Macaca mulatta: one gene and its partners. The protein of the gene in region 1 interacts with the protein of each later gene in a pairwise test. Links are inferred from orthologs where the notes say so. Each region holds a gene or a part of one and is shown in the gene's direction. Other genes may lie near its edges.

What was found.
Region 2: the proteins of VCP (region 1) and VCF1 interact in binary tests that used the Homo sapiens proteins (3 or more experiments, as listed by UniProt). The link is inferred for Macaca mulatta from reciprocal best matches to the Homo sapiens genes VCP and VCF1.
Region 3: the proteins of VCP (region 1) and SLC43A3 interact in binary tests that used the Homo sapiens proteins (3 or more experiments, as listed by UniProt). The link is inferred for Macaca mulatta from reciprocal best matches to the Homo sapiens genes VCP and SLC43A3.
Region 4: the proteins of VCP (region 1) and VAMP2 interact in binary tests that used the Homo sapiens proteins (3 or more experiments, as listed by UniProt). The link is inferred for Macaca mulatta from reciprocal best matches to the Homo sapiens genes VCP and VAMP2.
Region 5: the proteins of VCP (region 1) and LNX1 interact in binary tests that used the Homo sapiens proteins (3 or more experiments, as listed by UniProt). The link is inferred for Macaca mulatta from reciprocal best matches to the Homo sapiens genes VCP and LNX1.
Region 6: the proteins of VCP (region 1) and EPSTI1 interact in binary tests that used the Homo sapiens proteins (3 or more experiments, as listed by UniProt). The link is inferred for Macaca mulatta from reciprocal best matches to the Homo sapiens genes VCP and EPSTI1.
Region 7: the proteins of VCP (region 1) and UBE2D1 interact in binary tests that used the Homo sapiens proteins (3 or more experiments, as listed by UniProt). The link is inferred for Macaca mulatta from reciprocal best matches to the Homo sapiens genes VCP and UBE2D1.

Annotation. Positions count from the first base shown.
Region 1 is NC_133420.1:64,662,549-64,666,048, forward strand, and holds part of VCP (transitional endoplasmic reticulum ATPase), read left to right. Parts: intron 1-687; exon of another isoform or gene 688-727; coding exon 728-858; intron 859-1,816; coding exon 1,817-1,984; intron 1,985-2,942; coding exon 2,943-3,093; coding exon of another isoform or gene 3,094-3,116; intron 3,117-3,500. UniProt on the Homo sapiens protein: Necessary for the fragmentation of Golgi stacks during mitosis and for their reassembly after mitosis. Involved in the formation of the transitional endoplasmic reticulum (tER).
Region 2 is NC_133421.1:82,885,699-82,889,957, reverse strand, and holds the start of VCF1 (protein VCF1), read left to right. Parts: upstream 1-1,459; 5' UTR 1,460-1,487; coding exon 1,488-1,708; exon of another isoform or gene 1,709-1,709; intron 1,710-4,259.
Region 3 is NC_133419.1:15,977,102-15,981,301, forward strand, and holds the start of SLC43A3 (equilibrative nucleobase transporter 1), read left to right. Parts: upstream 1-1,400; 5' UTR 1,401-1,571; intron 1,572-1,577; exon of another isoform or gene 1,578-1,938; intron 1,939-2,349; 5' UTR 2,350-2,415; intron 2,416-2,650; 5' UTR 2,651-2,832; coding exon 2,833-3,016; intron 3,017-3,336; coding exon 3,337-3,466; intron 3,467-4,200. UniProt on the Homo sapiens protein: Sodium-independent purine-selective nucleobase transporter which mediates the equilibrative transport of extracellular purine nucleobases such as adenine, guanine and hypoxanthine.
Region 4 is NC_133421.1:9,677,680-9,681,632, reverse strand, and holds the start of VAMP2 (vesicle-associated membrane protein 2), read left to right. Parts: upstream 1-1,153; 5' UTR 1,154-1,254; coding exon 1,255-1,256; exon of another isoform or gene 1,257-1,689; coding exon of another isoform or gene 1,690-1,697; intron 1,698-1,771; coding exon 1,772-1,892; intron 1,893-2,375; coding exon 2,376-2,534; intron 2,535-2,617; coding exon 2,618-2,669; intron 2,670-3,277; coding exon 3,278-3,294; 3' UTR 3,295-3,953. UniProt on the Homo sapiens protein: Involved in the targeting and/or fusion of transport vesicles to their target membrane. Major SNARE protein of synaptic vesicles which mediates fusion of synaptic vesicles to release neurotransmitters.
Region 5 is NC_133410.1:79,855,989-79,860,041, forward strand, and holds the start of LNX1 (E3 ubiquitin-protein ligase LNX), read left to right. Parts: upstream 1-1,253; 5' UTR 1,254-1,700; intron 1,701-4,053.
Region 6 is NC_133422.1:22,250,113-22,253,612, reverse strand, and holds part of EPSTI1 (epithelial-stromal interaction protein 1), read left to right. Parts: intron 1-3,139; coding exon 3,140-3,247; intron 3,248-3,500. UniProt on the Homo sapiens protein: Plays a role in M1 macrophage polarization and is required for the proper regulation of gene expression during M1 versus M2 macrophage differentiation.
Region 7 is NC_133414.1:91,527,783-91,531,882, reverse strand, and holds the start of UBE2D1 (ubiquitin-conjugating enzyme E2 D1), read left to right. Parts: upstream 1-1,300; 5' UTR 1,301-1,503; coding exon 1,504-1,527; intron 1,528-4,100.

The DNA of each region.
Region 1 (3,500 bases):
TTGAGACAGAGTCTCACTCTGTCCCCCAGGCTGGAGTGCAATGGTCCAATCTCAGCTCACTGCATCCTCCTCCTCCTGGGTTCAAGCAGTTCTCCTGCCTCAGCCTCCTGAGTAGCTGGGCTTATAGCCGTCTGCCACCACGCTCGGCTAATTTTTGTATTTTTAGTAGAGATGGGGTGTCACTGTGTTGGTCAGGCTGGTCTTGAACTCGACCTCAGGTGAGCCACCGTGCCTGGCCGCTAGACTCATTTTCATATATTTGTATACACATGCATGCAAACCTTGCACACATATTCATATGTCTTACCCTGCTCCTTTCCTCCATCCTTCCCTGGCTCCCATCTCTCCCCTTCTCTGTTCCGGGAGAGTAAGCTATCTTTATGGATCTCTGAAGGAGAAGGTGGTCCATTTTGGCTGGGTCAGGGTCCAGAGTGCACAGTTCTATCATTGGTGGTTGTAGTGAAAACTTGGGCTACTTACATGGCAGAAGTCAGAACTTGATAGTCTTCTGACATGTCAGGTTTTCTTGACTGACCTCTTGAGCGTCAGAGGGACTCTTCACAGTTTACCTTTCTCCTCTTACCTGCTGCTTATTAAGACAGGTGGAGTTGGGGAGAAATAGGACAATATCTAATGAGTTTGGCATTTTGACCCCAGGGTCTGATGAGTTCTCACTTTGTCTTGTAGTTGACGCCCCTAACTGTACTTGTACTGCTTGCTCTCCTAGGAGACATTTTTCTTGTCCGTGGTGGGATGCGTGCTGTGGAGTTCAAAGTGGTGGAAACAGATCCTAGCCCTTATTGCATTGTTGCTCCAGACACAGTGATCCACTGCGAAGGGGAGCCTATCAAACGAGAGGTGAGTTTTCTCCCTGATTCCAGTATCCAATTTCATGATTACTCAGTGTGGCATCATGTGGTAACTGTCAAGACTGGGTGCTCGGCCGGCTGTGGTGGCTCACACCTGTAATCCCAGTACTTTGGGAGGCTGAGGTGGGCAGATCACTTGAGGTCAGGTGTTCGAGACCAGCCTGGGCAACATGGTGATACCCCGTCTCTACTAAAAATACAAAAATTAGCCAGGCCTGGTGGTGAACATCTGGAATCCCAGCTACTCGGGAGACTGAGGCAGGAGAATCGGTTGAACCCAGGAGTTGGAGGTTGCAGTGAGCTGAGTTTGTGCCACTTCTCTCCAGCCTGGTTGACCAAAAAAAAAAAAAAAAAGACTGGGTGTTCTTTGGAGAACTAACCATCTTTCAGGGATGAGAAACCTGCCAGCTATTCATTTCTGGGCCTAATTGTTTGTTGGATGTACCTAATGTCAGGAATTTCAAAAACCTAGACTGAATCCAAAATATATAAGTGATTGAAACCATTTTTGAAGTAAAGCTGATGGTGGCTTCAGGCCTCTGCCCATTCCCAGGGTTTCCAGCTTCAGGTTTTAGAGACCCTTTCTCAGTAAGACTACGAGTAATGTGAGAGGCAAGGACTGTGCTGGAAATCTTTGCCTTGGGATTTTTGTGGTGGTTCTTTGAGGCTGGATCCCTTTAGAGGAGAATCTTCTTTTTTAAATTTAATTTAATTTTTAATGAGATGGGATCTTGCTGTATTGCCCAGGAACAACTGGACTCAAGCAGTCCTTCCACCTCTGCCTTCCAAAGTGCTAGGATTACAGATGTGAGCCACCGTGCCGGGTTGATAATCTTATTATACTCATACGCTAGGTTTTTGCATACTAGGTAGTGGAATGATTTAGAGAAACTCAACTTTTGCTGATATAATATTCTTGCCTTCTCCTTTCTCTCTTCCACATTCAGGATGAGGAAGAGTCCTTGAATGAAGTAGGGTATGATGACATTGGTGGCTGCAGGAAGCAGCTAGCTCAGATAAAGGAGATGGTGGAACTGCCCCTGAGACATCCTGCCCTCTTTAAGGCAATTGGTGTGAAGGTGAGCATCCTGGGCTCTGGGATCAAGTCTAAAGTGGTGATTAATATCCAGTGTCTAATCCTGGGACTGTTTTCATACATGGCTTTCATTATTGCCTTGGATTAGAGGGGCAATAATATATCCTTTAGTTTACCTAAGGCTCTAAATTCATTAGAGCTGATGGTCTAGACCAGAGTAGGCTAATTAAATTGTCTGTCGTGTGTATGTGCGCACAAAACACACACACATATATGGGTTTTTTCCCACAACTCTTAGAATATAAAAGCCATTATTGTATCAATGGACCCCGTAAAAACAAATCTCACAATAGTTTGCCAGCCTGTCTAGAGCAGTGTCACCCAATAGAAGTAAGGAAGTTAAGGAAATTTTCAGAGTGTTAAAGGGTTTTGAGTCTAAAACATTTGAGAACTATTGGTCTAGAGTGTAGCTTCCCAATCTTTTCTATATCATGGAACACACTGAAGATGAAGTTACTCATTTTCCTAGTAGGTATCACACAAATTCATCTTCTATGTGGACAGTTTACATGTTCTGCTTGTGGATAGGGCCATAGAAAGGGTAGTGTCAAAGAAGAAAATTGATGATTGTAAGAAACACCATTCCAGTGTGATAAATTCTGGAGGGCGTGGTTATTGGAGTGAGTGATTCTCTGGCAATGAAGAAAATAGACCCTGCTCTCTTAAATGGCTTAGCTAGTCTTTGGCCCTTGGTCTGTCTGAAATCGAGCCCTTTGTGTAATGGCCTCTTGCCTTTGCCTAGTCATGTATCTTCAAATACATTTGGACTAGAGTTTCTCTGCCCTTAGTCTCCTATGCAAGTTACAGTCATAAATATTGCCCACTTTCTAGCAGTATTTTCCTTGCTAGTAATAGAAATGATTGTGGCCTAAAGTAAATTGTCTGCTTAGCATTTACTACTGAGGGCTTATTCTTAATATTGTCAGGGTTGAAGCCTGGTTCTCCCCGTCTCTGGAGCCCTAGTTAAGCCATTTTAGGGTTTGGGAGAAGGTGGGAACGTAATCACACTCTGCATTGGTCCACAGCCTCCTAGAGGAATCCTGCTTTACGGACCTCCTGGAACAGGAAAGACCCTGATTGCTCGAGCTGTAGCAAATGAGACTGGAGCCTTTTTCTTCTTGATAAATGGTAAGATACTTGGTTCATCTTATGTCTGGCTAGACCCAATTTGAACTGGGCTCATGAGCTGGAGCACTCATGGACACATCCTTTTTGCACCCATGCCCTCCTGCACCTTTATAGCATATTTCTTCTGCTTGGGTATGTTACAGACAGATGAGCAATAGAGGGAAGATATTTTACACTGGTGCTCCCTGTCCTGCCCCCCTTGAGAAAGATGGTGGACAGACTGAAGAGCAGGAGCAAACTAGAACGAGAAATCAAAGGGCGAATGCTTAGTGATTTGAGAGAGTTTGGGGAAAATGAACTTCGATCACTGGCTCTTGGAGAATGCTATTTAGTGGTGTGCCATCTCTCCTGCTCTGGCTAGAGCATTTGTTGTCACATTTATACTTCTAGTTCAACTGTGAGACGAG
Region 2 (4,259 bases), on another chromosome or scaffold:
GCTGGAGTGCAGTGGCACGATCTCGGCTCACTGCAACCTCAGCCTCCCCAGTGGCTAGGATTACTGGGATTACGGGCCTGGGCCACCACGCCCAGCTAATTTTAGTATTTTTAGTAGAGACGGGGTTTCACCATGTTGGCCAGGCTGGTCTCGAACTCCTGACCTCAGGTGATCTACCCGCCTCGGTCTCCCAAAGTGCTGGGATTACAGGCGTGAGCCACCGCGCCCGGCTTGCTGGGATTACAGGCGTGAGCCATCAGTCTTTCTTTGTTTGGAGGTACACACTAACAGGATGAAAGCCACAGACTGTTTATTTACAAAAATACACACAAATGAAGCCAGTCCATGGACCTTCGGCTAATAACGTTAGAAAGGGCATGACACCTGCTAGACGTTTCTGCCTCCACTCCACCTCACACTCAATCCTACTTGAAACATCTCGGTACATTCCCAGGGTAACGTCTATATGTGGCTGTTTACTTACTCGAGCTCCTCTAGGAGGATGCTAGTTTTGCGGGTGCTTCTCCCGGATCCCCATTCTTCCCCGATCACCGTTCCCGAGTGTGGCAGAATGAAACGTGAATGTCAGCCTGTGTAAGACACGATGAGACAGGTGACTTGGCAGCACGCGCAGTGAGTAAATGCGGCACGGTACTGAATCAAAAACAAACAGGTTCCGGAAAGCAGAGAGTTAAGACCTCCCAAGCCTCTGGGCTCAAGGAGGACCTCAACAGTTCCACTAATCCTCGCCCTCACCTCCGGCGCTCCTCAGCCACCTTTCCCTCCTCCGGCCGCGTTACCAGCCTGCCCACCTCCCCGCACCCTTCCTTTCCCTGAAAGCTGTTCTGATTCTGCCAGCGAAGTGGATGGGGTCGGCCTGGCAGATTCTGGGTCAGGCACCGGCGTTCCCGCAGCCCCACCGAGGGGTTCCTCCTGCGGTTCCAGGAAGACCCTCCGCCGGCACCCGATTCCCTCCCCTCTCCGCTCAGGACAGTCTTCCCCAGACCTAGAACGTGGGTCGCGGAACACAACCCCGCCCTTGGAAGCTCACCTCACAGGACCGTCCTCACCTCGGAAGACCCGAAAGCCCAGGCGGCCTCGGCGGGAAGCCCCCCCAGGGAAGCCCCCCAAGCGCCTGCCCAACCCCCGGCCAGGAAACCGCGTCAGGCTGTCTGCACCACTGCCGGATAGGTCCGCCTATTTTTAAAAATGTTACCTCACACGGATTCAACTCAAATACTTGTATGATATTATTATGACATAATTGAGTTTATTTGAAACCTGGCTTGACTTTCATACCGTACCCTCCGTTGGCTGTGAACAGGCGAGTGCTTCCGCCACCCCAGGGGAGGTCCTTTCTCCCAGAAGCTCCTAGTCGCTCCTCCCCCTCCGAGCCCGCCTCTTCCCGTGGGCGGGGTTACCGGTCGGCGCGGTTGGGATCGTGCCACTGCGCAGCCGCGAGAGGGCGGTACCACGGCGGCAGCGACATGGGGGGGCGCGGAGCAGACGCCGGAAGTAGCGGTGGTACGGGTCCGACTGAGGGGTACTCGCCACCGGCTGCGTCCACCCGAGCGGCTGCGAGAGCTAAGGCCCGAGGGGGTGGGCGTGGCGGCCGCCGAAACACAACCCCCTCTGTTCCCTCTTCTCGCGGAGCGGCGCAGCGTAGCTTCCCTCCGCCAGCTGCCATGAGCGAGCGCCTCCGTCCCAGGTGAGAGGGAAGGGACCCCCTTTCCACTCGTCGCCTGAGGATTTGGGAGATGGAGCCGAGGGGGCGCGCGAAATGGGGGTCGGAGCAAGTGTGGACCCGGCGGGGCTCCCTGTGGGGTCCACTGAGGGCCGGGGGAGTAGGGGAGAGGGATGCGCGAGTGATCGGATGCTTGGTTCCTGTGGGTAGCTGGAAGGTGACTCTCCGGGGTCCAGGTCTCCCGCCCCTCCATCTTTTTACTCCCCTATCGTTTCCTATTTGGAACGAAGTGTGATCGGTCCCGGAAGAGAGACAGTGGCCCTAAAGCTTCCCTGTCCTAAATTTAGGAGGGTGGGGGGATGGGAGAAACGTCTCATCTTGGAGAGGGGGCCCCCTCAGGCTTTTGTGAGGGCACCGGGCGGGGAGCTGCCGGCTCCCCAAGGTCAGAAAGAAAGGTTGGGCTTAACCCCGCAGCAGGGAAAGATTAGGTTAGACCGAAGAACTTGTGCTATGAACGGTTGTGAACACAGAAGGGCAGATGACCAAGGCGGGTTATGGATCCTCTCTTGACTGTAGCATTAAGAACAAGCTGGATTCTAAACTGTTTGGATGCGGGGCCGTTTGATTCCGAAGGCGGGAGGTAGGATTTTGTCGCGATGCACTCGCTACCTTCCCAAGGGAGCCTGGCCCTTAAATTAGGAGTTCTATGCTTGACATGTACTCCTAGAGTCCCGACTAAGTTGGGATTTCTTAATTTTTTTCTCCCTCTTAATTTCCTCTGCAAGAATGTGTGGAGGAGAAAGTTGGGAAGGGTTACCTCAGAATGCTCTTCATGTTCCGGTCTTTCCACAAGGATCCTTCTCTGAAATAGTTATTTCACGGGATTGAAGTTCTCAGAAGTATCCTGAGTTTATTTGGTCCCATGGTGGAAACCTCGGGTTCCCCAAGCTGCTGCATGGGATTATTGATTTGGGTCATGTAGCAAGTGGAGCATAAAGCCTCTCGTTGTATAGAAAAGAAGAGTGGACTAAATTTGAAATTGGGGGCCCAATTACAGACATGCTATCGGAATTAGGAACAAGAGCTTTAGATATAGCTTTAGATACTGACCCGACTGCCATGTTATTCTTCCCCAAACCCAGTTTATACTTACGATATTCTCTTGGGGTGTCTCACATATCTGAAGAAAAATCGAAATATTTCCTACAAATAAAAATTCGACTGTACACAACTAATCTGAATGCATTTATACTGGTAGTAGATTCCTTTTATCAAGTACACAAATAATCTCAACATGTTTTAAATAAGTTATTTGATTTGGACAGGCTTTTCTTGCCAGTGTTTAATGGAGTATGATGGGCCAGCTCTGCCAGCTCTAGGACGGTCTAAGATGGTGGTTTTTCGGCTGGGCGCGGTGGCTCAGGCCTGTGATCCCAGCACTTTGGGAGGCCGAGGCCGGTGGATCACCTGAGGTCAGGAGTTCGAGATCACCCTGGCCAACATGGTGAAACTCCGTCTCTACTAAAAATTCAAAAAAATTAGTCGGGCCTGTTAGCGGGCGCCTTAATCCCAGTTACTTGGGAGGCTAAGGCGGAATCGCTTGAACCCGGAAGGCGGAGGTTGCGGTGAGCCGAGATCATTGCACTCCAACCTGGGCAACAAAAGCGAAACTTCATCTCAAAAAAAAAAAAAAAAAGATGGTTTTTCAGGCTGTCACACAATAGATTGGATAGCCGCAGAGAGGTGGGTGTGTGGTGAGGGAGTCCCTGCTTATTGATTGATTGGTTGATTGATTGACTGATTGATTGATTGACAGAGTCTCACTCTGTCGACCAGGCTGGAGTGCAGTGGCCCCGTCATGCCTCACTGCAGCCTCAACCTCCCAGGCTCAGGTAATGCTCCCATGTCAGCCTCCTGAGTAACTGGACCACAGATGTGAGCTATCACACCCAGCTAACCTTTGTATTTTTGGTAGAGATGGGGTTTCACCATACTGCCCAGGCTGGTCTTGAACTCCTGGGCTCAAGGAATCCACCCATCTTGGCCTCCCAAAGTGCTGGGATTACAAATGTGAGCCACCTCACCAGACTGGGAGTCCCTGCTTCAACAAATCCTTTATCTCTTATATAGAGAGTATTTTTCTACAGTAAGAAAGAAAGAGTTCTGTCACTTTTAAAAATAAAGTTTGAAAACCACTAGTTTCCATACTGTTTTTGTTTGTTTGTTTTGAGACGGAGTCTTGCTGTGTTGGCGAGGCTGGAGTGCAGTGGTGCAACCTCGGCTCACTGCAACCTCCACCTCCTGGGTTGAAGCAGTTCTCCTGCCTCAGCCTCCCAAGTAGCTGGGATTACAGGCACGAGCCACCACGCCCTGCTGTTTTGTATTTTTAGTAGAGACGGGTTTCACCATGTGGGCCAGGCTGGTTTCGAACTCCTGACCTCAAGTGATCTGCCTGCCTCGGCCTCCCAAAGTGCTGGGATTACAGGTGTCGGTCACTGTGCCCAGCTCATACTCTTTTTTTTTTTTTTTTTGAGACGGAGTCTCGCTCTGTCGCCCAGCCCAGGCTGGAGTGCAG
Region 3 (4,200 bases), on another chromosome or scaffold:
ATGCATTAATTTCAGAGTCTGTCTTGCAGTAAAATAGAAAATCTTGCATCTTAAGCCCTGATTGTCCCGGGCTGCTATATTTTTGTGGATTAAAATGTATTTCTTAAAATAACTTAAAATGTTATTTTAAGAAGAGACTTGTTTTCTCTAATGTCCAAATGTTTGTTAAGATGGGGTGATGAGAGCATAGGTTTCAGAGTTGGGAAGGTACTGCGGCTTCGTAGAGTGACCATGGGCAAGTTCCTTTAAAATTCCTCCCCAAAGCTGCTTCTCTGGCTCTGTCTACATAACTGCAGACTAGAAATCCACTACCCTACAATCTGCCTACAGCACCTGCGCCATGCAGGGACCTCATACACCCATCTCATACTTCTTTTAAGACAATTCCTATAATTAAGGTCCTATTGTCCTTGTCTTACAGGTGGGGCAGCCAAAGAGCTTGCCTCAGGTTGTATAACTAGCAAGTAGCTTGGGGTACAGGACCCCAGCCACCCTTCCTCCATTCAGTCAAGTCACTAGAGTGGTCACAGACTTTATCTTTTGTGTTTTGGTGGTGAACTGGAAAATACTCAGTTGGATCTGGAAAATACTCAGTTCTGGCTGTCCCCTATCCTAACCTCTATTTCTTCCTCTTAAAAAAAAGAGGAGTGGCCGGGCGCGGTGGCTCAAGCCTGTAATCCCAGCACTTTGGGAGGCCGAGGCGGGCGGATCACGAGGTCAGGAGATCGAGACCATCCTGGCTAACATGGTGAAACCCCGTCTCTACTAAAAATACAAAAAACTAGCCGGGCGCGGTGGCGGGCGCCTGTAGTCCCAGCTACTCGGGAGGCTGAGGCAGGAGAATGGTGTAAACCCGGGAGGCGGAGCTTGCAGTGAGCTGAGATCCGGCCCCTGCACTCCAGCCTGGGTGACAGAGCAAGACTCCGTCTCAAAAAAAAAAAAAAAAAAAAAAAAAGAGGAGTGGGCTTGGAATAGCTGGAGTTCCTGGGCCCCCACGGGATCCAGGTAGCTGGGGTTGGGAGTCTGCAGACTGCATCTAATATGCAAGAAGCTCTCCCCCAAACTGAGCTTTTGACAAGGGAACAGCCACTCAGGCCAAAGAAGACATCAGCTCACGTGCTCTGGACTGGAGGGATGGTAAGGCAGCTGCTTAGACTGGCTACCTCACGCTGATCACAAGCTCCGATGGGCAATTATATATGTCTTTGATTAATAAAAAATGGGGCAATGAATGAATAGTTAATCAATGCAGTCTGCTGGGAAGGTTCTTTCAGAACCTGGGGGTGGGGGTGAGGCCGGGAGTCATCTAAGGGGTCTTCGGGAGCGAAAAGATGGGGCAGTCCTCCAGGCGGTGGTTTCTGAAAAGCCCTCAGTCCTGGTTCTTGGCTGCCTGATTCTGTGGTTGGGATGTTTTTGGCAGCTGTGGGAGTGTGAAACTGGGAGAGAGGGTTGAGGTGGTGAGCAAATAGGAAAAATATGTTCCCTGCCCACCCAGCGGTCAAGGCAAAATGCACAAATAGAGAGAGTGTGTGTGTCCCTATGCCCGCATGTGCTGTCTGCGTGTCCTCTGGGTAAGTGGGTGAGTGGGTGACATTTTTCCTAGGTGGGCCTGAGCGTGTAACAGCATTCAACTAACTTGGTTAGGGGAGGCAGAGGCAAGGGGGCTGGGAGGCTGAAAGGCAGTGAGGAGGGAGGGAAAGACACCGCTGGGGTTATAGGGGATCCTAGAGGGAGAAGTTTCAAAAGGGAGAGGTAAAAAAAGGCGCGGGAGGCTGTGAGCAAGGAAAAAGAAGAAGGAAGTGATGGAGAATGGGAGGCCTGCCCCAACCCCTTCCGGGAGGGCAGGCAGGGGCGGAGGCGAGCAGGGGACTGGGAGGGGCGGCGAGAGGCGCGAATGCGAACGAAAGGGCGCGGAGAGCCCCGGCGCGGAGCACGCGGGTAGGGCGAGGGGTCCCCTTTCGGGGGCCTTGGGGCTCCGAGCCCGGGCTGGCCCCTCGGGCTCCTCTGCGGGGAGGGCCGGCCGCAGGCTGGAGCGGGGTGCGGAGGCTGGCGGGGAGCGGCCCCCCGAGGCTTTCCTGGTAGAAGTTGATGCGAGGCAGGGCAGCGGGGACCATGTTTGCGAGTCCTAGGCGAGGGTCATGGGAGCTGGGGTATTTCTGGCAGTAGAATGGCCTGCCTCGTGACTAAACTAGCCCTGTGATCTTGGGCAAGTTCCTGAAATCTGCGGGAGGTTTTGTTTCATTGTCAATAAACTGAAGATAACAACACCAAGTTGGCAGCGGGAGTGTGTGTCTTCTGTGTAGGGCCTCCCTGCCCCTGTACCTGCTTGAGTTGCTGTCATTATTTTAGTGGACGGTATTCAGAATTCGAGCGCAGGAGCCTCCGCTTCTCCACCTGCTGCCGGGGAGCTATTGGGTAAGTCGTTTATCTCACCTGTGACTCCAGGTGGCAATTAAGATCTGCCTCTCTACTTACCACGTGGTTACTCAAATGCAGTGCCTAAGATAGTGTATTGGAGTATCTATTCCCCATATTTGCTGCCAGCGGCCATGATCACCCTGCCTCTTAATGCACCCCACAAATAACTCTAGTCCACCTTTGCCTTTCCCGCAGGCCTCCTCTTCCAGCAGCCTCTGTCTTTATTTTACAGGATCCAGAGAATCACCCGCTGACGGTTTTTGCCCAGGCCTGAAACAGAACCAGAGAGCTACGGGAAGGGAAGGGCTTGGCTTGCCAGAGGAATTTTCCAAGTGCTCAAACGCCAGGCTTACAGCGCCTGTGATCCGTCCAGGAGGACAAAGTGGGATTTGAAGATCCACTCCACCTCTGCTCATGGCGGGCCAGGGCCTGCCCCTGCACGTGGCCACACTGCTGACGGGGCTGCTGGAATGCCTGGGCTTTGCTGGCGTCCTCTTTGGCTGGCCTTCACTAGTGTTTGTCTTCAAGAATGAGGATTACTTTAAGGAGCTGTGTGGACAAGATGCTGGGCCGATTGGCAATGCCACAGGGCAGGCCGGTAAGGGCAGGGATGACTTTTCTAAGGAAGTTAAGTCTGGCTCCCAGGTGGTGGCAAGGAGCAGGAAGGACTCTGCCCCCTGCCCACCCCTCTTTCTATGATGAGAGGAAGGCTCAGCAGCCCTCAGCCCACTTGGTCTGGGAAGTGCCTGGAAGGGAGGCACCAGCTCCTGAGGGATAATTAGGGGCAGCCACATTTCAACTGAGCTGAAGGGACGAGCTTCTGACTGATGAGCTGTCCGAGGTGGAGGGGGGAGCCCAGGCTGTGTGCTCATTTGGCAGGAAGGCTGGGATGCATGGGAAACCTTTTTTCTTCTCCAGACTGCAAAGCCCAGGATGAGAGGTTCTCACTCATCTTCACCCTGGGGTCCTTCATGAACAACTTCATGACATTCCCCACTGGCTACATCTTTGACCGGTTCAAGACCACCGTGGCACGCCTCATAGCCATGTAAGTCCGAAAGGCCCAGCCCAGGCAAAGGTGGGCGATAGGAATCCTTCAGGCTGCAGCCCAGCTTGGAGTGAAATCCAGGTCAGATGGCCCGGCCGCCCTGCCAGGCACCACACCTGCAGCTAGCTCCCAGCGGCTGTTAGGAACAGCCCCAGGCAGCGGGAATTTGTAGACTCCCCACTTCACCACAGCCCCGCTTCCATTTCCTTACCTCTTTCCCTGCTCCGCCTGAATGTGGCTTCCCTATCACTTGCTGAACTGAGCCGGAGGCCAGGCTGACTTCCTGTAAGGGCTGGCTTAGAGCCAGGTTACAAAATTAGCAAAAACTAAAATTGCTCTTCTCTTCCTTCACCCCAACGATCCTTGTCCTCATCCCCTGCACAGCCTCACATCCAGGTTGCTCAGGCTTCATCCTCATCCTCCTCACCGCCTCCCTCCCCCATCACTCCCCAGGGGCTTAGCTAATAGGAAGTTTCCTTGGTATTGCCACTGGTGGAATTTCAGGTCCTTTCTGACTGGAGGGGAGGCAGTGGGGGTTTCCTGTGCAGATGAGTCAGAAGGTTCGGGACGTGATCTCACACACACAGTGCGTTGCTGCATCCTAATCTCGTGCTCTGTGGGCAGCCTCAGCGATAATCAGCGCCCTGCTGGGGACTGATACAGCTCAGAGCAGGTGCTCCCAGGGAGGCACATGTGAGATCAGCTGTCAGAGAGAGGAACGGGAGGGCTAGCTG
Region 4 (3,953 bases), on another chromosome or scaffold:
TGTGCTTAGAGGGCCTAATGGAGATAGGGATAATCTTCCATGTTATCCACATCAAGCCATTTAACGAATATGGATTTAGTATCTACATATGCAATGTATTTGGGGTCCAGAGAGAGGAGGGCAACTGTCCAAGGTCACACCTGCGAGGCGAATACGCATGTAAAGCAGCACCTTGTAAACTGTACCCACTGTGCCTACTACTAAAGAAAAAAAAATGAGAGAGAAAAAAGCCTTTTGGTCCCTGTGCCTGGGACCAAAGCCTGAGCCCTCTCCTGCAGTTGGGGTCGCTGACCCAAGCCTGGGGCAAAGCTAGGTCTTGGCCAGTCAGCAGCCACCACGTGAAGCAGCCCCTGCCCCCATCAGCCCCGGCTGCCTTGTGCCCTCCTCCTCGGGGTCTTCAGCTCACCCCACCTCAGTCGGGCCTGCTCCAGCTGTTAAGTACCCCTGGTCTGAACCTCAATCGTGAGGCGGGGCACCCCCCTCCTCACACCCTGTAGACACTCCCCGGTCCTCCACCCCCTGGACTTGTTTCGGCGGGAAGAGCCTGCCTCATCTTTTCTTCCCACCCTCCTACCCAGTGGCCTGGGATCGCAGGCTTCCTCTGAGACATCCACCAGCGGGGTGATGGGTTGAGACCAACCTCCTCCACTCCCCTCCACCCTAGCAGCAGGGTCCCCGCTCTCGATATTGCCCCAGCGCCTGTACTGACCCTCTCTGATTTCCCAACCCCAGCCCATTCCCAGTGCTGAAGGCGGGTCGCTAGGTGCTGGGACCTGGGCGCGGGGCGAGACCTTGGGCTGTGTGGGATGCAGGCTGGCTTATTGGGTTCACGATTCAGGGAGTGGTCTGGGGGTTAGGTGCGGGGCCAGGCTGCTGTGTGCCCTAAGGGGCAGGTGGCAAGAGGTTTGGGGGCGGCTGTGGAAGGCTGTGCTCAGACAGGGCGGGGTGACGGTGGGTTTAGGGAAGCCGCAGCAACCCGCCTGGTGGTCCCGTGAGTGCCCAGAGAGCTGCCGGGGCACGGTGGCGCCAGACCCGCAGTCCCGCCCGGCACGACCCCAGTCCCGCAGCGCCCCGCCCCCGCGGCCCCGCTCCCGACGCGTCGCCCGCGGCGCCCCGCCCCCGCCCGCAGTGCCCGGATGCGGGTGACGCGCGGCCGCCATCTTTCCGTCCCGGGCAGCCAGCGCCAGTCGGAGCCAGCGCGAGTCGCCGCCGCCATCACTGCTGCTGCCAAGTCCTCCACCCGCTGCCCCCGCCATGTGAGTCGGCCGCCCGCCACCCTCACCGCGCTTCCCTGCACCGGCCGCCGCCCTTGGCAACCGGCCGTGGGGAGTGCCCGGGGTCTCTCCCGCGTTCCCCGCGCCCCGGGGCCAGGCCCAAGCCGGTGACTGCGCGCGGGCGGCCGAGAAGCCCAGCGTCTCGGGCTGGCCGGCTCGAGCGATGGCCGCGGGAAGGAGCGGACCCTGTGTCCTCCTGCCGCGCCCCGCCCCTGTCACCGCGGCCGCCTGTCTTTTCGGGTCGACCCCGATCACATCTGTGAGGTCGCCCTCATTTGACAGGCGGGGAAACTGAGGCCGGGGGGAGGGGAGGCCTCGCTCAAGGTCACGCAGCTCATCGGTGGCGAGGCTGGACCTGGACCAGGGCTTCCATCGGGTGGCCTTCCTCCCGAAAAGGAGGACTGGAGGGACGAGGATGGACAGGTGGATGGGCGGAGCCCTGGCTGCAGGGCCGGGAGACTGCAGGCCCTGGGTCTTAATCCGTCCCTGCTCCTCAGGTCTGCTACCGCTGCCACGGCCCCCCCTGCCGCCCCGGCTGGGGAGGGTGGCCCCCCTGCACCCCCTCCAAACCTCACCAGTAACAGGAGACTGCAGCAGACCCAGGCCCAGGTGGATGAGGTGAGTGTGGGGGGAGTCAAAAGCAGTAGAAAGGACCCTGGGGGTTGGCGTTTAGGTGTAGGGGCCCATGTTGGTTTGGGAGTGATGACAGTTCACGCCTGTGGGTTTGCGGACAAAGATACTTTGCCCCATCCGTGTCTCCCTGTCAGCACGCACTTGGAAGGGTGCTGGGGGTGTTAATCAGCTTTGCTAGCCTGGGGTGTGCCAGCCTAGGCAGGTGTGCTCTGGTGATGGACAGAGCGCCTGAGGCGCCATAGAGGGAGGGTGTTGCTATGATATCTGAGATGTCACCAGCAATCCCCTGATGTGTGCTCCTTGCATGTCCCCAGGTGTGCTAGGCATGTACTGTGTGTGTCCTTGGCATGTTAACCTGGCAGCATCAGGGTGCATGTTCCATGTGTGGCACGGTGGGCACATGTTTGAGGATTGCCCTCATGAGGTGGGCCTTGGCACACCCCCTTGCCCCGTGGGCCCTTCTCCCAGGTGGTGGACATCATGAGGGTGAACGTGGACAAGGTCCTGGAGCGGGACCAGAAGCTGTCGGAGCTGGACGACCGTGCAGATGCACTCCAGGCAGGGGCCTCCCAGTTTGAAACAAGTGCAGCCAAGCTCAAGCGCAAATACTGGTGGAAAAACCTCAAGGTAAGGATGGGGACAGGAAGGAGGACTGGCAGGTGAATGGGGTATCATAGTTAGTCTCGCTGATCCTCTCCTCTCACCCCCAGATGATGATCATCTTGGGAGTGATTTGCGCCATCATCCTCATCATCATCATAGGTGAGTAGGCTGGGAATGGCCGGGGCCCTTTCCCTGGAGAGGTTTCCCCAGTGGATTCTGGGTTTTGAAGGTCATTAACCTAGTTTTTACTCTTCAGCCAAAAACACATATAGCTGCTAATGGCAATTCTGATTCACCTAGAGCCAAAAACTTTGATGTTATTTAGCCTGCATTTTGCCTGGTTCTTGGCAGTTTTGTTAACATTTAGAAATATAAAAGTTGGTGTATCCATTGAGGACCCTTTGGGCCTAAGAGCCCAATCTGAGAGCCCTGGAATTGAGGAGTGGGAGAAAGGAAAGGCCCAGGGGCTTGAGACATGACCAGGAAGCCAACCACCCCATTATTTGAGAGCTTGTGGCCTCAGGCTCAGAGGATTAGGGTATGTGGCCTCAAGGCCATACCATGGAACTGAAGGGACCTCATAACCTACCTGTCTAACCCCTTGCTTTGTAGATGGAGAAACTGAGTCCAAGAGAGGGGTAGGGGTGCCAGCCAGCTGGGGAGTGGGGAGGATTGGAGCAGGGCCAGGCCTGACACACTGCTTTCTTTCTTTCTCCCTCTCTCTCTCCCCTCTCCCTCTTCCTCATCTTCTTCCCCTCTCTCCACAGTTTACTTCAGCACTTAAATCCCTGAGGAGTCTGCCCTGCCTAAAGAAGGGCCTCTCCCCCCACCCTCAGCCGTTCCTCCACCTCTCAGCCATATCTTTCAGCCCCCCTTCCCTGGATCCGTGCGTGTGTGTGTCCGTGTGTGTGTCCCCCTGTAAATAGCCAGCTGTTATTTATACATATATAATATTATATATATTTGGTCTGTTTGTAGTTTTATTACTAGAAGATTTTTCTGGTTGTCCTTAACACCCCTTCCTGAGGTTCCCTTCACCTCCTCTCTCTTGCCTGCCTTCCCTTTCCCTTTCTTCCTGACTAGCCCCAAGTCCCTTCATTTGCATCTGCTATGCAATAGTCCCTCTCCTCTCCTTCTTCTTCCCTCAGATTTAGCTGATCCTTCCCCCCACCCTGGCCTTCCTTTCCTCCTCCCTCTCCCGGTCATGCTCCCTCTGCCCCGCCCTCAAAAAAGACCACAAAAAACAAAAAGCATCTGTCCAGGCTTCCTTAGGTGCATCTTGTTTGCATCCAATGGGAGGCTCTGAGACTGGCCCCACTTGGTCCTAAGAATCCCAAGGTCTTTGGGAGTGTCCAGCATGTTAAGTAGCGTATCATTACATACTGCCATCCCTTTCCATTTCTTTTTGTTCCATCACTCTTCTCTCAACTGGTGTTTCTTTTT
Region 5 (4,053 bases), on another chromosome or scaffold:
GACCAGATGCCAGCTGCCCTGGGTAACCGCCATGACACAAGAGAGCTAAGTGCTAGCAATTGAAAATAAAGATTAGGGGTAGAACCAAAAAGAGTCAGAAGTGTGACCTTAGGACTGAAAATACATGTGCTGACTTCATCTCACCAGGCAGAATTTTCCAGGTTGGCAATTTTGCCTCATTCACTCCGTGGATTATTGATTAAAAGAAACTTGTAGCAGCTGGCTCCGAAAGTCAAAGGGACAAAGTGGCAATCAGGCCATGACCAAAATGCACACAGAGGCCAAGGAATTTGCAGTGTACTTCCTTGTTTGTAAATCAGAGTCACAGTGGAGAGCTGAAGGCACCGCAGCCAGCGGCACCACCTGTAATTAGGGAGCCACAAGTACCTGCACTCCATGTGTCTTTCTTGCATGTTGCACATACATAAGATAACACCGAGCTCCCGATTCACATCTCTGGAAAGAGACTACTTAATTCACTAATTATTCACATTTCTACTTAGAATCGAATTCCCAGAGCTTATCGCTTATTTAAGCAAAATCTTTGGCCATCACTGGAGCTGTCATCCCACAGAAGTGCTTAAGCAAACCAGTGGGAAAAGCAAAACTCAGAAAAGCACACTTCCAGAAGCGCAACGTTTACATTTTTAACTAGCTGGGTCACTTTGCAGGAACGACTTAATCTCTCTAATCCTCAGTTTCTTTATCTATATAATGGGAGTGATAATTATAGATTCTGTTGAGAATTAAATTAAATAATGCAGGTCAGGTAATTACTACAGAACCTGGTAGGCAGTAAGCACTTAATAAATGTTAGCAAAGATGTTGCAGCGGCTGACAGTGATGGCGATGGTAATGCTGAAGAATGAGCAGAAGAAATCCTTATTTAAACAATCATTCTGTATCTTTAGAGTTAAGAGTCTTAAGTAGTATCAGCCACAAACTTGCTCAGTCTTCTTCTTTGTCCACAAACATTAGCCAGTGTTCAGTTATGAGCAATACTGCCGAGAGAAAATCTTTGAAAGTTTTGGCAAGGTATTGGAACAAGTCAGAACTACTTATTTGCCTGATATAGATTTTGGTGCATGTCCCTTTTCATATTCAAAAATAAAAGATGCCCAGGATTCTAGGGCCTGTCCAGTCAGCAGCCCCTGCCTATTAGCATGATAATGTTCCAGACCTAATGATGGCCTGAAGGTGTGGTGACCCTGTGTTTATTTCCTTGTTGATTTCCCTTCTCTGGCTCCAAGATCATTTTCCCATTGCCCACAGGAAACAACATCTAGGGGCGAGGTAGGCCTGACTTGGCAACCCTAAAGGTGAACAAAAGGATCTTGGCTTTTGGCAAAAGCAGAAGGAAGTTCAGGGGCGTCTCAGCCCCATCCAAACCAGAATAGATTTGTCACTGATGCTAATGCATGCTGCTCTGCAGGGGACCACTCTCCCGCTAAGCTCTCCATAGCTGCTCTCAGTTTTATGAATCTGCTCTACCCAAAGCCTTGCAGAAGGGACAGGGGATGTCCTGGTTAACCCCTGCATGTACAATGGTGGAGCAGTTTTCATGCATAGCTGGGACACAGAATACTGGAAAGAGAAAGAAAAATTTCCTGAGCTACTGCTAAGCCAGCAGAACTCATCTCTCAAACGGACTATCACCTGAGACTTCACACAGCTGGGAACTGATCCGCAATACAGCAAAGGTAAGATGGCCTAGTTCCTCTACAAGGTAGAATCTCATACCATTTCTTAAAAACGTCACCTCTGCCCACTCAGCCCCCAGTTCTCACCTCTCTCTCTCTCTCTCTCTCTCACACACACACACACACACACACACACACACACACACACACACACCCCAAACTGAGGAGAGTCTAAAAGATGGAAATATCTAGGTGTGTCTTTTTGAAAACACTAGAAACGCCTTGGCATTTCCTCTTTTTATACCCTATTTTTTTCTGCAGTGGCCTTCATTCAAAGCTTATTTACTTTGACAAATGAAAACGACTTGCCAGACAGATCAGTAAAAATATAAGTAATCCCACTAACAGTAACTGGGTTTATGCGACAATATTCTTTATCGGTATTTAAAACACATTCACACACAGACTTTGTTTCATTCCACAGTAGGAGTAGGTGTTGCATTGTAGTTTTACCCATGGATAAAGAGGTTGAGAGAAGCTGTGACCTGCTCATGGATGTGTAGAGTTGTGGGTGACCAGCAGCACATCCTGTCTTCATTCCTATCTCTTTTCAGTAGAATGGTGACCCTACTCTTTACAGAAAATTCCAGACTACATTCTTGGCCATGTATTCTGACAAATGGTCTGATGAGAGGATGGAATTTTAGAAATTGGAACTCTCAGGAAAATCCAGAAATAGATAGCCACAGTATCCTGTACAATACACCACCTTGTCATGTATTCCTGTTTACTTCCATTCCTGGGCATTGAATTCAGTTCAACAAATGTCGATAAACTATGTTCCCTGCTCCAACACTGACTGGCTCATATGTCAGGGCGTGGTGCAAGTCCTGTGCCCAAGGAATGCTGAGGCAGTGCAGAGTAGGATGGCGGGGTGGGGGGCTTCCCTAAAGAGGTGAGCTTCAAGTAAGCTCAGCATAAAGAGTGGACTTGGATTGAGGGAGAGCATTCAGATACACAAATCCCCCGGGAGGAATTTGTTGAGTGAACATTTACTTACACCAAGTCCATGGTGGCAGAGCTGAGGGGCAAGGAGCACAGCCTGAGGAATTAGACTGTCTGGCCTTGACTCTTGGTTCTACTTCCCACTAGCTCTGCATCTTGGAGTACCTCAGTTAACACCGCTAACCTTACCTTGCCAATATGTAAAATGAGAACGATGGTAATACATCCCTCATAAGGTTGTCTTCAGCTGTGAATGATTATGTATGGGAAGTCTTTCCTGATGCATAACAACTGCACAATAAATATTAATACTAACTAGTGTGATGACCATGTGCCTGGCTCCAAGGGAGATGCAGGGAATACAGATAAGAGGAGGCCTACCCTCAGTGTAATCAAAACGTCATGAGATAGTTGTGTGCAGCTAATGACATGAGGTGTGATGCATGCTCTGGAACCAGGAGGGTGGAATCTTTTAAGTCTGTGTGAGCTAGGGTTGGGGTTCTGGGGGGACAGGGAAGGGGGCAGAGGTTTCACAGCAGAGGCCCTATGTGTAGGGCGGTAGTATAGATCAGTGAAAAGAGCTAGACAGATCTAATTTTGAATCCCAGTTTCCTCCTCTATTTACGTATCTATTTATTTCTATATTAATCTATATGTATTGAAAGCCATAAATTCATACTGCCAATTCATACTTCCAATTCCAATCCAACACTCCCTTTCTACATTTGTAACTCCCTTCTCTAACATTCATCAGAAGCTGGCTCCCATTATCCTTAATATATTATATGCTTATTCACTCAATCCCCCAAATGTCATCAACTGCCATCATGACACTGTCCCTTGCCCCATGCAGACGCCCTCCGCACCCTGCTTAGGCCCTGACGCTTTGTTCTGGGCTGCCCTGAGCTGGCTCCTGGAATTCTGGAGCTACCATATGTCCTCCACACCCGCACAGGTGCCTACTTTGCTCAGCCCTATGTAATGTCTTTAAGGACTGTGACACATGCTATACATTTGTGTATGTACCTGTGTTGTCACTGTCTTTGGAGGGGGATAGAGCTATCTCCTCCATACAGGTAGGGCACATGTCCTCAGCATCAGGCCTGAAGAAGCCAGGCTCATTCCATTCATTCTATTCCACTTGGTCTGCTGATCTATATGGATGTGGGCTGCTCACTGTATGCTCGGGGTAGTAACAACATTTCCAGGGGTGAAAAGTACTATTTGGGCAGTCACTGTTCCTTTTGCTTCTCTGTCAAGTCCTTGTCTAGGTTCTCCATTATTCATTTACTTAACAACAGATATGAAGCACTTACAAGGTAACTGGTGCTTGGTTAGGGTGGGACATAGAGATTTAAAACCTTAGTCACCACCCTCAAGGAACTCCCAGTCCACTGTGGGAAGCAGA
Region 6 (3,500 bases), on another chromosome or scaffold:
GTAGGCAGAAGTACCAGCATCATCAGACCTCCCTCAGCAACCATCACTGCATATTTCTAGTTAAATGTGAAATGGTTTCTAGTCTCTGGTTTTATGCCCCCACTTTTTTTTATCTTTTATTTTTTAAATTTTTGTAGACAGGGTCTCACTCTGTCACCCAGGCTGGAGTGCAGTAGCGTGATCTGGCTCACTGCAACCTCCACCTCCCAGGCTCAAGCCATCCTGCCATCTCAGCCTTCTGAGTAGCTGGGACCACAGGCATGCACCCCCATGCCCTGCTAACTTTTGTAGTCTTTGTAGAGACAGGGTTTTGCCACATTGCACAGGGTGATCTCAAACTCCTGGGCTGAAATGATCCACCCACCTTGGCCTCCCAAAGTGCTGGGATTACAGGTGCAAGCCACCGCACCAGGCCTTACGTCTCTACTTCCTCAACAAAGAATAACGATGTGAAAAAATCTCATCCTGGTGTTTCACTTCCCCAAATCATTCAGTGGTCCCCCATATCTTCAAGGATAAAATCAAAATAGCTTAGGCACAAAGCTCTTTCCTCTCTCTGTCCCTCCCTCCCTCCTTCAATTCTAGATTCTGTCTCTTTCTTTACAATGGCCCCTTTTTAGTCCTCTAGGGTCTGCAGGACTGGCCTTGAGTCTAAATCTTTGCTTCTGCAAAGGGGTAAGGGGAAGCAAAGCTTTTGAAATCAGGAGCAAAGATTTCAATGCAGACCAATCTCAGGCCCCACTGCAGGCCTCCTGAATCAGAGCTTGCATTTAACACAATCCATGGGAGATGTGTGTGCATGTTGATGTCTGAGGGGCCGAGCTCTCTAGCTCGTGCCTCTCCAGCTGTCCTCTCTCACACTACTGTGAGCACTCAGTGCAGGTTGGTTATTGTAATTTTTATCTACGTGTCACATGCTCATTCATTACGAAGTCAAATAAAATACTTACTATGTGTCCCTTTGCTCCACTTGAATTCCACTTCCACCCCAACACTTGGAACACTTAGCATTTCCCATTGCTGCTGTAACAAATTACCACAAATGTAGTGACCTAATAGAACAAACATTTATTCTCTTACGCTTCCGGAGATCAGAAATAAAAATGAGTTTTAAAATGCTAAAATGAGGTTATCAACAGGGATGGTTCCTTTTGGAGGCTCCAGGGGGCATCTGTCCCCTGTCCCCCCAAACCCTTGGCACATGGCTGCATTGCTCCAATTTAGCTTCCATCTCACCCAACCTTCTGCACCCTCCCTGACCTTCTTGGCTTCCTCTTATAATGACCCTTGTGATTACAATGGGCCCACCTGGACCATCCAGGCTAATCTCTTCATTTCAAGATCCTTAATTTCTGGAAAGTCCCTTTTGTCATATAAAGAAACATTCACAGATTCCAGGGATTGGGACATCTTTGGGGGGCCATTATGCAACCCACCACCTGTTTCTTTTCTTAGTTAGCTCTGAATATCTGTTAATATGTGTTGATATGTCTTGACTAATCAATTTTAGACCTTATTAACTCATTTCTTCCTCTCATTCTTATAATTATTCAGTAATTTGAGCTTTCCCTTTTATGACTATATAAACATTTTCTCACTGCCAAGCCAGTTGGTATACTGTGGTTATATCTTCCTGTAAAACTCTTTGAACATATTTTATTTTAGCGTTTTCTTAGTTTCCTTTGAACATTTGACGGTCTTCTGACAGCTTTTGTGACTGTTCTACAAAATGCCTCTTGATGCAGATTTCTAAACAATTTTCCAAATTACACCTGTCAGATAACCTGTCGATTTTTTTTTTTTCCTCTCTCTCCTGGATCCCTCTTTCCTCCTGCTTTAACCTGTCCTGGGTGTTTGTAGGCCTGGTGCACAGCCGTTGTTCTGGGACTTTCCTTTAACACAATAGTTCTCAGCCTCCTCTGCACACTGGATTCACCTAGGGAGCTTTAAAAATCACAGACACCTGGGTTACACCTCCAGAGAGCCTGCTGTATTGTGGCCTGGGCTTCAGGGTTTCAAAAAGCTCCCCGGGTGATTCTAATGTGCAGCCAAAGTTGAGAATCACTGTTTTAAAGTTATCTTGGGAATTGCTTTTATTGCTTTCCTAAGTTGGGTTCTCTGATTTCTGAGCCTCATTTCTTCTATTTTCTTGCTTTATTTCTTTGTTTTGGTGGAGCATATTACTTAGTAGCTTCCCAAGAGAAGACACATGGAAGGTAAACATGTTCAGGTCCTTCCATGTCTGAAACTATCTTTATTCAGCTCTCACACTTTGCTTGCATTTTTATTGATGACTATTCCAAACTGGACATATTTTTCCTCCAGAATTTTGAGGCATTGCTCTTCTAACTTTGGGTACTGGTTCCTGAGAAATCCAAGGCCATGTGAATTTCAGGCTTTATGTGGGGGATTTTCTCTGTTTCCCCTGAAAATACTTTAATATCATCTTTTCTTTTTCTGGCATTCTGTAATGATGTGATTTAGTGTGAAAGTCTTTTTGAAATTGATTTTCAATCTAGAAATTCATCTCTAGTTCTAGATGATTTTCTTGTGTTATCTGTTTGATTTATATCCCTTCATTTTCTCTTTTTGGAATTTCTATTATTCAAATTGTAGACCTCCCAGGTTTATCTTCTAACTTTAGAGATTTTCTCCTGTAAGTTATCTTTGACTATCTTTTTTCTATATTTTGGTGTATTTTCTTGACTTTATCTTCTAAATATTTTACTGATTTGGGTTTTTTTGGGGGAAGAAGGGGAGATTTTAAAAAAAATTCTCCAAACTCCTCCTTTTTTCTTTGTTACTTAAAAAAAAAAGAAATATATATATATAATTTCTTACCTCTCAGCAGAAACAGTACAGGAAGCAGAAGAGAACTCCAAAGAGAGGGACTCAGAGGCTCACTGGTCAGTATGCAGTACTTTATAGAGTCATTTCATTCTCTGCCTGGCATTTGTCCACTGCTGCTGTCTTTACATGTATGCCCGGTTTAGTTTCTCCAGAAAATACACTTTTCATTTCCTATTGGTGTTGGGTGAATTAGCACCGGGATTTTCAAGGCAGGAGCAGGTATATGGGGGTGAAGGGTTTCTACTGAGACTGTCTAGTAACTCCTTTCTTTTACCTGCCTGTTACCCAGCTGTCTTCCTCAACAGCTGATGCCTCCATTTCTTGGGCCCTCATGTTGCTCTGTGGAGAGAACTGGCTCCCCATGCGTGTCCTCTGGCCCCTTCCAGCAAGTCTTCAGGTTTGCTTTTTCCTCTCTAAGTCACTTACTGTTTCTTTATCTACTTTGTCTTCATAGATTTTCCTCTGTGAATATGGATCTCTTGGGTTTTGAAGATAGAGCTTGTGTATATTTCATTTTCTGCTCTGTTTCGGGTAATTTTGGGGAGAATGGAACAGGAACATCTTTACTCCACCATCCTGAAAGGAGAACTTAATGCTTGTCATAGGTCGAGACCCACACTTCTCAAAATTTGTGTGGAAGCCCTAACCCC
Region 7 (4,100 bases), on another chromosome or scaffold:
TCCAATCCACCATTAATGAGCACCTAGGTTGACTCCATGTCTTTGCTATTGTGAATAGTACTGATGAACATGTGAGAACATATATCTTTTTGGTGGAATAATTTGTTTTCAGTTGCATATATAACCAGTAATGGGATTGCTGGGTCAAATGGTAGTTTTGTTGTAAGTTCTTTGAGAAATCTCCAAACTGTTTTCCACGATGGCTGAACTAATTTACATTCCCACTAACAGCATATAAATGTTACCTTTTCTCCTCAGCGTCACCAACATCTGTTGATGTTTTCACTTTTTTTTTTTTTCCTTTTTGAGACAGAGTCTTACTCTGTCGCCCAGGCTGGAGAGCAGTGACTCCAACTCAGCTCACTGCAACCTCCGCCTCCCGGGATTAAGCGGTTCTCCTGCCTCAGTCTCCTGAGTAGCTGGGATTACAGGCGCCCACCACCATGCCCAGGTAATTTTTGTATTTTTAGTAGAGATGGGATTTCACCATGTTGGCCAGTCTGGTCTCGAACTCCCAACCTCAGGTAATCTGCCCGCCTCAGCCTCCCAAAGCCCTAGGATTACAGGCGTGAGCCACTGTGCCCGGCCAAGAAGCCAAGTTTTAATGGGTACACAAGTGCCCAGGAATTGGAGAGTGGGGAGTGTGCGTTGACTATTAGTCAGAGACTGTCAATGGAAGGGAAGGAGTCAACGATGGGAGTGAGAGCTCTGAACTCGGTGTTCGAAGCGGGTAATTTATGGGAGGGGCATACCTATGAGCAGACGATGCACTCAGACACGGAAGATCTGTGCATTGGACAGAAGAGACACCTTTTTCCTCTGCAGTAAGAACCAAGGAGGTAAGTAAGGGGTCTGATAGATATGAGTTTGTGCATGTGTGCTGGGTGAGTAATTGAGATAATTCATATATTTGAGAAAAGACAGTGAAATATTTAAAGGTAAATATAATAAAACCAGCTGTGGCACCTATTGGATAAGGAATTACTAACTGATGATTTAGAAATTCCTTTATGTGCGTTAGGAGCTCATTTGTTATCCCCATTTTACAGATGCGCAGCCCCAGGTTCAGTAACTTGCTCTAAATGAGACTGTAGAGACTAACTCCAGCACCCGGCAGCTCTCACCTTAAGCTGCCTGGCTAAGGTCAGCAGCAAGTAACCTGGCAGCGTCTGGGGGCCTGCGGCCGAGGACAGGGCTGGAACTACACTTCCCAGTATGCCAGGCGGGGCGGGGCGCGGCGGGGAGGGCGCAGGCTCCTTCCCAGAAGCAAAAGCGGAAACAAAAGAGTCTCGCCGGCCTCCCCGCCCGCACACTCGCGCACACTCGCGCTCGGGCGCAGACGGAGCAGGGACCGGCGCCCGGAGCGAGCCAGGGAGCGGCGAACCGGGGACCCACCGCGCGGAGCCAGCTGAGCTGCCAGCGAGCCCAACTCGCGAAGACTCACGCCCCCGAGCCCCGCAGCCGACCCCTGCCGGCCGGTGTCCCCACCGCGATCCCTGATCCATGGCGCTGAAGCGGATTCAGAAAGTGAGTGCCGGGGCCGGGCCTGGGGCTGCGGGGCAGCAGGGCAGCGGCGCCTGCCCACGCTGACTCGGCCAGTGGTCCCGAGAGATATGCAGGGAAAGCACGGGATGGAAGGGTGGGCCGGGGTGCGGGCAGGGAGCTGGAGGCTCGGGCCCGGCCAGCGGGCACCGGACAGGTTAGGTGGGAGCGGGGGCAGATCCCAGGCGGCCGGGGGAGCTTGAAGGCTGGGGGCCCGTGGCGCGCTCGCGCCGGGGCCGCTCCCGGAGCCCCAGGGTAGAGAGCCTCCTCCGCGTCCAGACCGCCCCGAAATCTGTGCTTCACGGTCACGGCTGGGTTTTGCCCTCCATGAGGCTAGTTTTGACCCCTGTCATGCTGTGTTTTCTCCAGGCTGTTTCTTAAGCCTGTCTCTTTTATGTTCTTGCTTACCCGGGCTCCCCGGGAGGGCACGGAAGGTGGGGTGGGCCTGCAGCCTTTCTCCGCGGAGCTGTCGGGTTGGTTCTTTCTCCTCTGCGGTTGGCTCTTGCTCAGTTGCCCGAATGGGCTGGAAAGCCCATTTGCGGCCAAGAAGCCAAGAGAAGGCTCCTGCCCCTTCTATTTTGGTGCCTCTGCTGCTGCCACTTCAGGTCACATAGCTGTAGCGAAAACATAGTTGCTGATACACAACAAGATGACCTCCTGGCTGTGATTCACGGTGAGTCAAGCCAAACAGGTTTTTTTTGCCCCTCATGGTAAACTTAGATGTAAAGTTCGAGACACAACATAAACTGTCGCAAATAGATTGTTTTGATGCTTTGACACATGGGTATAAAATGAGGAAGAAATATGTATCTTCATCCAACAACTGTTCACCCATCTCAACCCTGTGTGTGGAATTGTCTTTTTTTCACAGTATTTATTGCCACCATTTCAGAAGCGAACATCCTTCAGAATTGATATTCGGGCATTTCTTTCTGTTCATTTTTATTTCTTGTTGGTCTGTGTACTGACCCAAGTTTTAGGTTTTACAGTTACAGTTCACACTGGGAACATTGAGAATGTGTTTGTTAAATAGGGAGTGCTTTTCACTAAGTTAAGCAACAATGGTCAGTGTATTTTGTAGTTGTTTCAGAAGAAATTAATGCCCACATTTTTATCTACTTTTTTGACCAGTAGTCCATTATAGCAATAGTAAATGTTAGAGCAGTGATAGTGACGTACACATTGTATTCTGACTAGCCACTAGTGGCATCTTTAGGTACAGAGGACAGCAACTTTTAGAGCCTGCCAGTTTTTTATTTTCAAATTCTAAATCTGTTGATCACCTGTTATTTTTTGTCCCATTTAAAGGTCGTCTCATTGTAAAACATACAGTTAACAATCAGCATCAGCATTTATTAAGTTATAATGTTTTCTTGTTTGAAGATAGTTCAGTTACACGTTGTTTTATATAAATATCCTAATTTTGAAGCCTCAGTCGGCCTCTTTACCATAACTTGCATACTTATTAATGACGACGTAATATTGGTTCACATTTGGATCAGAAAATGCACATCTTCCAAGGAAGTTTTCAAATTCTATTTCCTTCTTTCCTAGTTGTGAGAATTTTTCACATGATTTTGCACATACAAGAGCTTTTTAAATTATCACTGTGTTTTTTTAAGAGATGGGGATCTCAGTATGTTGCCCATGCTGGTCTTGAACTCCTGTCCTCCAGAGAGTCTGGGATTACAGGCACAAGTCACCATACCCAACTATAACAATAGCGTTTAAATGCTGTGCAATTTGTCCACAGTAAGTGGATATTCAAAGAAATATGAACATTGTTTGTAAATACCATACTTGGCAGTTCTCGTCAATCACCATGCTGAACTGGTGTATTTGATTTGTATTTATAATGTGTGTGTCCAAATCTTTTCTTTTTAGTATTTATTGGTTATTAGTTTATAGAGTTGTTCAGAAAAAAAAAATTACTTACATGGAATTGATATCAAACATGTGACAAATCGATATTTTGGAGAAGAAATTGGGATCATATACCATCACATCTCTGTGCGTTCATCTTTGGCTTCCCTTTCTGATATCAGGCAAGTTAACTTACACAAGTCTTTCCATTAATCACACATTCAGACCGTTTCCTCAAACCTTAGGGGTGATTATTTTGATTGATTCCCTATTTTTCCTCCTCCTTTATCTACCTCCTTGATTAGAAGCCAATTCTAGGTCAGTTGTGCCGCCTGCCATATGAACAGTTATACCATCTTCTTCTTTGATGTCATCAGTATAGACATTCTTATTTGAATCTTTCATGTTCCAACAAATGAAGATGTATACTAACTTTTGGCCTTTCTTCCTAAGCTCCTATTGAAGTGTTACTATAGTTTTCCTGTACCTAAAGTTGCAGACTGTAGAGCTGTGTGGAACCTCAGATAAGTCTGCCGTAGTGTACTAGAGGGTACCAGCACGGGAACAGCTTCTAGGGTAGTGTCTTAGAATCACCTGAGGGACGTTTTCAGACTGTCGTCACTTCTATAAATGGAGAGGTGTTGAATCCCTCAGATGGGTTGGGGTGGAAAGAAGACTGAGAACCACTGATGTTC